Struthio camelus: one gene and its partner. The protein of the gene in region 1 interacts with the protein of each later gene in a pairwise test. Links are inferred from orthologs where the notes say so. Each region holds a gene or a part of one and is shown on either strand. Other genes may lie near its edges.

Region 1 (3,749 bases):
GCCGCCGCCGCCGGCACCGGGACGCGAACCGGGAGCCGAACCGAACCGGCAGCGGGACCGAACCGGCAGCGCCACTGCCGCGAGGGGCGGGGCGGGGCGCGGCCGCGAGACCCCGGCCCGGCCCGAAGCCCCGCCCCCACCCCGCCCCGACCAATCGCCGCGCGCGGCCCGCCCCGCCGCCGGCCAATCCGACCTCGGGGGCGGGCCTCGCCTCACAGCCCCGGCGGTGGCGGCGGCGGCGTCGTCGTGACGCGGCCTGTCGTGACAGAGGCGGCGAGGCGGCGCCCGGGCCGGTTGTTCCGAGGCCTGGCAGCGGGGCCGCGGAGGGGGAGGCTGGCCCGGCCCGGGCGAGGGGTCCCCTCCGCCTGGGGCCGCGGGGATATCAGAGCGTGGCCCTGGCAGCCTGCGCGGGCAGAGCTGGCCGCTCCTCCCCCTCCTTTATCTATACGCTGTTGGCCCCGCACCAGGCGTTCCTTTGCTGGCCTTAATGAAGCTTTCTAATCTAGCTGTTAATTATTTAGCGAGGATAAATTTTTTATATCGACCAGATGGTTTGATCAGCGCATAACTCCCCGTCTCTGCGAGATCCGGCGTATGCTGAAATAAACAAACAAACCTAAGCGCTAACAAACAAGTGGTTAAATGTATCTCCAAAAAGTTGGGGATGGAAAAATCGCATCGAGCTCTTGCCCAGAGAGGTCTGAATTCGCGCAGCTGCTCCGTCTCCACAACTGAAGAGAGCAAACACTGTGAAACGAAAGCTGAGGGAGAGCAAGCGGTGAGAGGTGCAGAAGAAATGAATGAATCTATTAAGAGTAGATTTGGGGAGGGGATTTGTCAGTGACAGGGGCCCAGATATTTTTCACGAGACTGTTCTTGAAAAACAAGCCGGGGACGATACTGATCTTTGCTCGTTTGTCTTAAGAGATGTTATCACGCGGAGAAAAAAAAAGCAGTTGGCTCAGCAGGAGCGTGCGGAGGGCGTTGGCACGATAACGCCAGTGAAGGCAGAAAGTGGGGGAGCCGCGCTGCGGCCCCCTCGCCCCAGAGGTGACACACGTGCTCCGACCCGAGCGACGGCCTCCCCACTGCGATGGCTGGGACGCGCAGAAGGAGCGCTCGGTCTGACGGAGGGGCGCGCGCGAGAGACCCGTTTGCCCTGCGCCTGCGCCCAGGCGCCCCCATTTCTCGATGGCTTGTGATTTGAACGTTTCCGATTAATAATAAATCGCCGAGTTGTTTGTTTTAACGCAGCTTTTGTGTCTCGGAAGGCGAAACGAAATTCTGCTGCCAGTTCTGGGGCTGACGGAAACATAAACCTTTAACCTGCCTGAAATATTTACAGCACAATAAATACTTAAACTGCTGGAAGCTTTAAAACGGTGTAAGGTTTTAAGGCACAATAAACGCCCGAGGTAGCAGCAGGTTTCTAAGGCACCTCAAACAGCCCACGCCCCCGAGCCCTTCAAATCGCTTTCGCACGTAGGGACGTAGTGTCCCTCGGCGGCGCCCGTAGCCGCCTCGGAAGCGTTGCCATGGCGGCGCGCGGCCCTGGCATGGCGCTGCCGCCGCCGCCGCCGCCGTGGGGCCGGGCCCTGGAGCGGCAGCGGGCGCGGCAGCGGGAGCAGGCGGCGCGCAGCCGCCTGCAGTGGGAGCGGGCCAGCCGCTACTTCGCCCACGCCGGGCTCTGCAGCGCCAAGCAGGCCCAGTGGAGCTCACCGCGCGCCCTCCCGCTGAGGTACCGGCCGGGAACCGGGGGGCGGGAACCGGGGGGACGGGGGGAACGGGAGGACAGGGGCTGGAGGGCACCGGAGACCGGGGTGGCAGGGGGGACAGGGGCTGGAGGGGACCGGAGACCGGGGGGGCAGGGGGGACAGGGGCTGGAGGGGACCGGAGACCGGGGGGGCAGGGGGGACAGGGGCTGGAGGGCACCGGAGACCGGGGGGGCAGGGGGGACAGGGGCTGGAGGGCACCGGAGACCGGGGGGGGCAGGGGGGACAGGGGCTGGAGGGCACCGGAGACCGGGGGGGGCAGGGGGGACAGGGGCTGGAGGGCACCGGAGACCGGGGGGGGCAGGGGGGACAGGGGCTGGAGGGCACCGGAGACCGGGGGGACAGGGGCTGGAGGGCACCGGAGACCGGGGGGACAGGGGCTGGAGGGCACCGGAGACCGGGGGGGGCAGGGGGGACAGGGGCTGGAGGGCACCGGAGACCGGGGGGGGCAGGGGGGACAGGGGCTGGAGGGCACCGGAGACCGGGGGGGGCAGGGGGGACAGGGGCTGGAGGGCACCGGAGACCGGGGGGACAGGGGCTGGAGGGCACCGGAGACCGGGGGGGGCAGGGGGGACAGGGGCTGGAGGGCACCGGAGACTGGGGGGGGCAGGGGGGACAGGGGCTGGAGGGCACCGGAGACCGGGGGGGCAGGGGGGACAGGGGCTGGAGGGCACCGGAGACTGGGGGGGGCAGGGGGGACAGGGGCTGGAGGGCACCGGAGACCGGGGGGGCAGGGGGGACAGGGGCTGGAGGGCACCGGAGACTGGGGGGGGCAGGGGGGACAGGGGCTGGAGGGCACCGGAGACCGGGGGGGCAGGGGGGACAGGGGCTGGAGGGCACCGGAGACCGGGGGAGCAGGGGGGACAGGGGCTGGAGGGGACCGGAGACCGGGGGGGGCAGGGGGGACAGGGGCTGGAGGGGACCGGAGACCGGGGGGGGCAGGGGGGACAGGGGCTGGAGGGCACCGGAGACCGGGGGGGGCAGGGGGGACAGGGGCTGGAGGGCACCGGAGACCGGGGGGGGCAGGGGGGACAGGGGCTGGAGGGCACCGGAGACCGGGGGGACAGGGGCTGGAGGGCACCGGAGACCGGGGGGGGCAGGGGGGACAGGGGCTGGAGGGCACCGGAGACTGGGGGGGGCAGGGGGGACAGGGGCTGGAGGGCACCGGAGACCGGGGTGGCAGGGGGGACAGGGGCTGGAGGGCACCGGAGACCGGGGGGGGCAGGGGGGACAGGGGCTGGAGGGCACCGGAGACTGGGGGGGGCAGGGGGGACAGGGGCTGGAGGGCACCGGAGACTGGGGGGGGCAGGGGGGACAGGGGCTGGAGGGCACCGGAGACTGGGGGGGGCAGGGGGGACAGGGGCTGGAGGGCACCGGAGACCGGGGTGGCAGGGGGGACAGGGGCTGGAGGGCACCGGAGACCGGGGGGACAGGGGGGACAGGGGCTGGAGGGCACCGGAGACCGGGGGAGCAGGGGGGACAGGGGCTGGAGGGCACCGGAGACCGGGGGGGGCAGGGGGGACAGGGGCTGGAGGGGACCGGAGACCGGGGGGGGCAGGGGGGACAGGGGCTGGAGGGCACCGGAGACCGGGGTGGCAGGGGGGACAGGGGCTGGAGGGCACCGGAGACCGGGGGGGGCAGGGGGGACAGGGGCTGGAGGGCACCGGAGACCGGGGGGGGCAGGGGGGACAGGGGCTGGAGGGGACCGGAGACCGGGGGGGCAGGGGGGACAGGGGCTGGAGGGCACCGGAGACCGGGGGGGGCAGGGGGGACAGGGGCTGGAGGGCACCGGAGACCGGGGGGGGCAGGGGGGACAGGGGCTGGAGGGCACCGGAGACCGGGGGGGGCAGGGGGGACAGGGGCTGGAGGGCACCGGAGACCGGGGGGACAGGGGCTGGAGGGCACCGGAGACCGGGGGGGGCAGGGGGGACAGGGGCTGGAGGGCACCGGAGACCGGGGGGGGCAGGGGGGACAGGG
Region 2 (3,749 bases), on another chromosome or scaffold:
TCTTCCAAACCCACACTATTGCCACACTGTCCACACAGACGCCTTATCCCACGGACACACCCTGGCAGTGTAAGCGAGCAGCTAATTGTTCTGTAAAAATCCCTCAAATCTGGTTTCTCATAATTAGGCAGTATTAAATCATGTTAATTAACCGAATTCTGAATTACTGACTTCTGAATTTCACTAGAAATTTACTAGGATTGAAACAGACCAATTTCAAACTCCCAGTTTAAACGAAGGTTTAACATCAGTTTCGTGAGTCTTAAACCTTATTTCAAGATTAACTCCATTGCCTAGTGTGTACTGGCATTACACACGTTAATTGCTATCTGAACAGTTTCATCTTAAACCCAATTTGTTTAGGTTTCCAAAAAGCAATGGGAACTTAGTCTGACATTTATTCTTTTAGTTGAATTATTTCAATCTTATATTCTCTGTACACCGATGGATGTTCATGATCCCTTAAGCAATGTTATAACTATACAATTTTTGTACTAAAAAATTCAGATTCCAAAATCTGAAAATTAATTCTAAGCAAAGAACAGGAAGAAGAACACGACAAATTCAATTCCAAATTTTTAACAAGAATATGAGTAAAAATGAAGAAGGAATGGTGAGATTAACTGATGATAGTACATTTTTCAAAGAAATTGGAATTTTACTTAAAGCAAATTTCGTTTTTAGGCATGGCAATTGCTGTAAATGGGTAAGTGGGTGTGGTTGAACTCACTCCATTTTTCCATTCTTGAATGCGAGAGAGGTAAACTGCAAGTTTCAGAACTATAGCCTAAAGAAAAAACTGTAAGCTGAATCATCCCTTTTGTTTAATTAAAAGAAAAAAAAACAAGTCCTTGCCCCTGGGATCTGCAGCCAGCTCCCTTTGTAAGGAATGGCCTCACCCCTAGGGAGGGGAATCTTTGGAGGGAGGGTTGCAGGGTGGGTTTGTCTCCTAACCCCCTGCCTAGGGATATAAATGAAGCGCCAGGGCAGCAACAGCACTCACATTCTCCCTCTAGACCAAGCTCATTGACCCTAGGTCCTTTCGTGCCTCTGCCATGACTACTGTCTACAGACAGAGCTCCTCTTCTACCTATGGTGGTGGCTTTGGGGGCGGTGGAAGCAGCAGCTCTCGCCTCTCCTCAATCCGAACGGGAGGATCCTACAGGGCTCCAAGTATACATGGAGGATCTGGTGGCAGGGGTGTCTCTGTCTCTTCAGCTCGGTATGTCTCCTCCGTAGGAAGTGGATTTGGTGGTGGCTTGTGTTCTGGTTTGGGTAGTGGCTATGGAGGAGGCTACGGAGGAGGTAGTGCCTTACAAAGTGGCTTTGGTTGGGGTGCAGCCTCTGGCTTTGGTGGAGGGGCTGGCTTTGGTGGAGGTCTTGACTTTGGTGGTGGTGATGGCCTTCTCTCTGGAAATGAAAAGATAACTATGCAGAATCTGAACGACCGTCTGGCTGCATACCTGGACAAGGTACGAGCACTGGAAGAGGCAAATGCTGATTTAGAGGTCAAAATACGAGACTGGTACCAGAAGCAAGCTCCCACCAGCCCAGAGCGGGACTACAGCCACTATTACAAGATAATTGAAGATCTCCGAGACAAGGTATGACATTCATAGGTACAGGGAGTTATAAGAATACATTGGAATTGCGGAACTGCTCTTCAAACCAATTAAAAAACTATAAATAAAAAATTGATTCCCCAAATCCAAATATATTGTAGTTATGAGCATTCTAGCAAAAAAGAGTCTTTTTTTTCTTAATTTAAAAAGTAAATGTGTCATCCTGAAAAGGTGAAGTTTGTTGAAATTAAAATGATTGCACTAAAAGTTAGCAAAAAATGACAAAGTGGGTTTAGAATTATCAATATATTTAGAGAGTAATCAAATACTAAAAATATGATAGGCAGATCTCATAGTCTGGAAAAGTAATTCTCCAGGGCAAAGATAAGATCAGGTATTGTGTAAATGTATTTTACAATTATGTTAAATGTGAACTGTACACATTGCTTATCTTCTCACTTAGTACTTATGAAGTGGTAAAGAAAGAAGATTTAAAGGTTACACACAGAAAGTTCTAAAACAACAACAACAATGTGCTTACTTTCACACAGACATACCTGCCTTTTCTTGGGCTACAGTAAAGGTGTCTCAGATATCTGGGTTGCATCTGGGCGGTGGTAAAGAGTTTAGGTTTTTTGGTTTTCCCATATAAAAGCCATAAGAATTACAACGTGACCAAAAGGCAATATAATAAAATGAAATGGTTATTGCAATGCAAAAAGCGTCTTTAACTAATGAAATCTCAACAGAGGTTCATTTTTTCTGCCTTGTTCGATGGTTAACAGCTTCAATAACTACCTACTAGGCGCTCAGGAACAAGGGTATTTCACCATTACTCACAGGAATCCTTTTCTGTATCTCCTACTGCCAGATCCTTGCAGCTACTATTGACAACTCCAGAATCATTTTGGAGATTGACAATGCCAGGCTGGCTGCAGATGACTTCAGACTGAAGTAAGTTTAGCTGGATCACATTTTTATTCTCTCTCATCCTCTCTCTCGGTTTTTTGAAGTTTAATATTACTTCCTATCTAGAAAAAAAAGTTCTTCAGTCACTGACATATTTTTCTTCTATAACCTATGATGAAAAAATCCAGTTAAAAGAATTGATGTGATGAAGGAAGAAATGGGAAAAGAAACTTGATGGAACATAGTATCCAGATTACTGAGATGTTTACATAATAAATTATAGTTCATGTCTTATTTTGGAGGATGCTCCTGAATAGTCTTACTAGCCTAAATCACTCGGGAAAAGAAAGCAGGAACAGGTTGGAATTAGCGTTTAAAAGGAACAGAATGGTGTGCCGAGATGCCTGCTTGGCTGCAGCAGCTCTCTCGCACAGAGTGTCAAATTAAGAAAGGAAAGACAACAGTGATTCTGTGCTTATCCAGTTCATGGACGCTGAGAACAGCCCGTCAGGCACTGCTGAAAAGATGACAAAGATACTTGCACAATTGTTTTCTCTCACAGCAATGTACCTGCAGGTTTGTATTTTCTCCTCTAATGCCCTAGGCAGAGCTGGGCAATCTATGCTTTTCTTTGTGCCAAATTTGAGAAGATGCTGAAAACGAACTGTCCTGTATGGTAACTTTTCTATCAATGCTGATAATAACTATTAGGTATTACAAACTGAAAAGGTCATGTATTCCTCTGGAATAAAATCAGATGGCAATCCATGTGCTTTCATACTTGAAAGGGGCAAAAAATATCTGCATTCCCTTTAAATTTCCTTTTAATGGATGTTTTCATTTACATCCTCCTGTTCCTTCTACGTTCAGCATAAAATTCCACAGTTTTCCAGCTCTCCTCAATACCAACTCTTGTATGTTCCAACGTGTGTTTCTTTTTAAAACTGCAGATATGAAAACGAGCTGTTCCTTCGCCAGAGCGTGGAGTCCGACATCAACGGCCTGCGCAGAGTCCTGGACGAGCTGACTCTGGCCAGAGCTGACCTGGAGATGCAGATTGAAACACTGAAGGAGGAGCTGGCCTACCTCAAGAAGAACCACGAGGAGGTGAGAGTTCTTAACAATCAAGAGAGAAAATTAGTTCCATTCAGAATTTACCCCTCTCCATTTGGGGGAAAAACAAACCAGAATGACAGTTTTACAGCTAAATGATTAAGAAGAAAACTGTAATCTCAAAAGAATCCAAATCGTGTCCCTTAAAGCACCTCTCTAATTCCA

Evidence for each region. The genes of interacting proteins can lie anywhere in the genome.
Region 2: the proteins of TCHP (region 1) and keratin, type I cytoskeletal 15 interact in binary tests that used the Homo sapiens proteins (3 or more experiments, as listed by UniProt). The link is inferred for Struthio camelus from reciprocal best matches to the Homo sapiens genes TCHP and KRT16.

What each region holds. Positions count from the first base shown.
Region 1 is NC_090958.1:19,323,945-19,327,693, forward strand, and holds the start of TCHP (trichoplein keratin filament-binding protein), read left to right. Parts: upstream 1-1,535; coding exon 1,536-1,738; intron 1,739-3,749. UniProt on the Homo sapiens protein: Tumor suppressor which has the ability to inhibit cell growth and be pro-apoptotic during cell stress. Inhibits cell growth in bladder and prostate cancer cells by a down-regulation of HSPB1 by inhibiting its phosphorylation.
Region 2 is NC_090966.1:7,137,271-7,141,019, reverse strand, and holds the start of keratin, type I cytoskeletal 15, read left to right. Parts: upstream 1-978; 5' UTR 979-1,055; coding exon 1,056-1,604; intron 1,605-2,433; coding exon 2,434-2,516; intron 2,517-3,421; coding exon 3,422-3,578; intron 3,579-3,749. UniProt on the Homo sapiens protein: Epidermis-specific type I keratin that plays a key role in skin. Acts as a regulator of innate immunity in response to skin barrier breach: required for some inflammatory checkpoint for the skin barrier maintenance.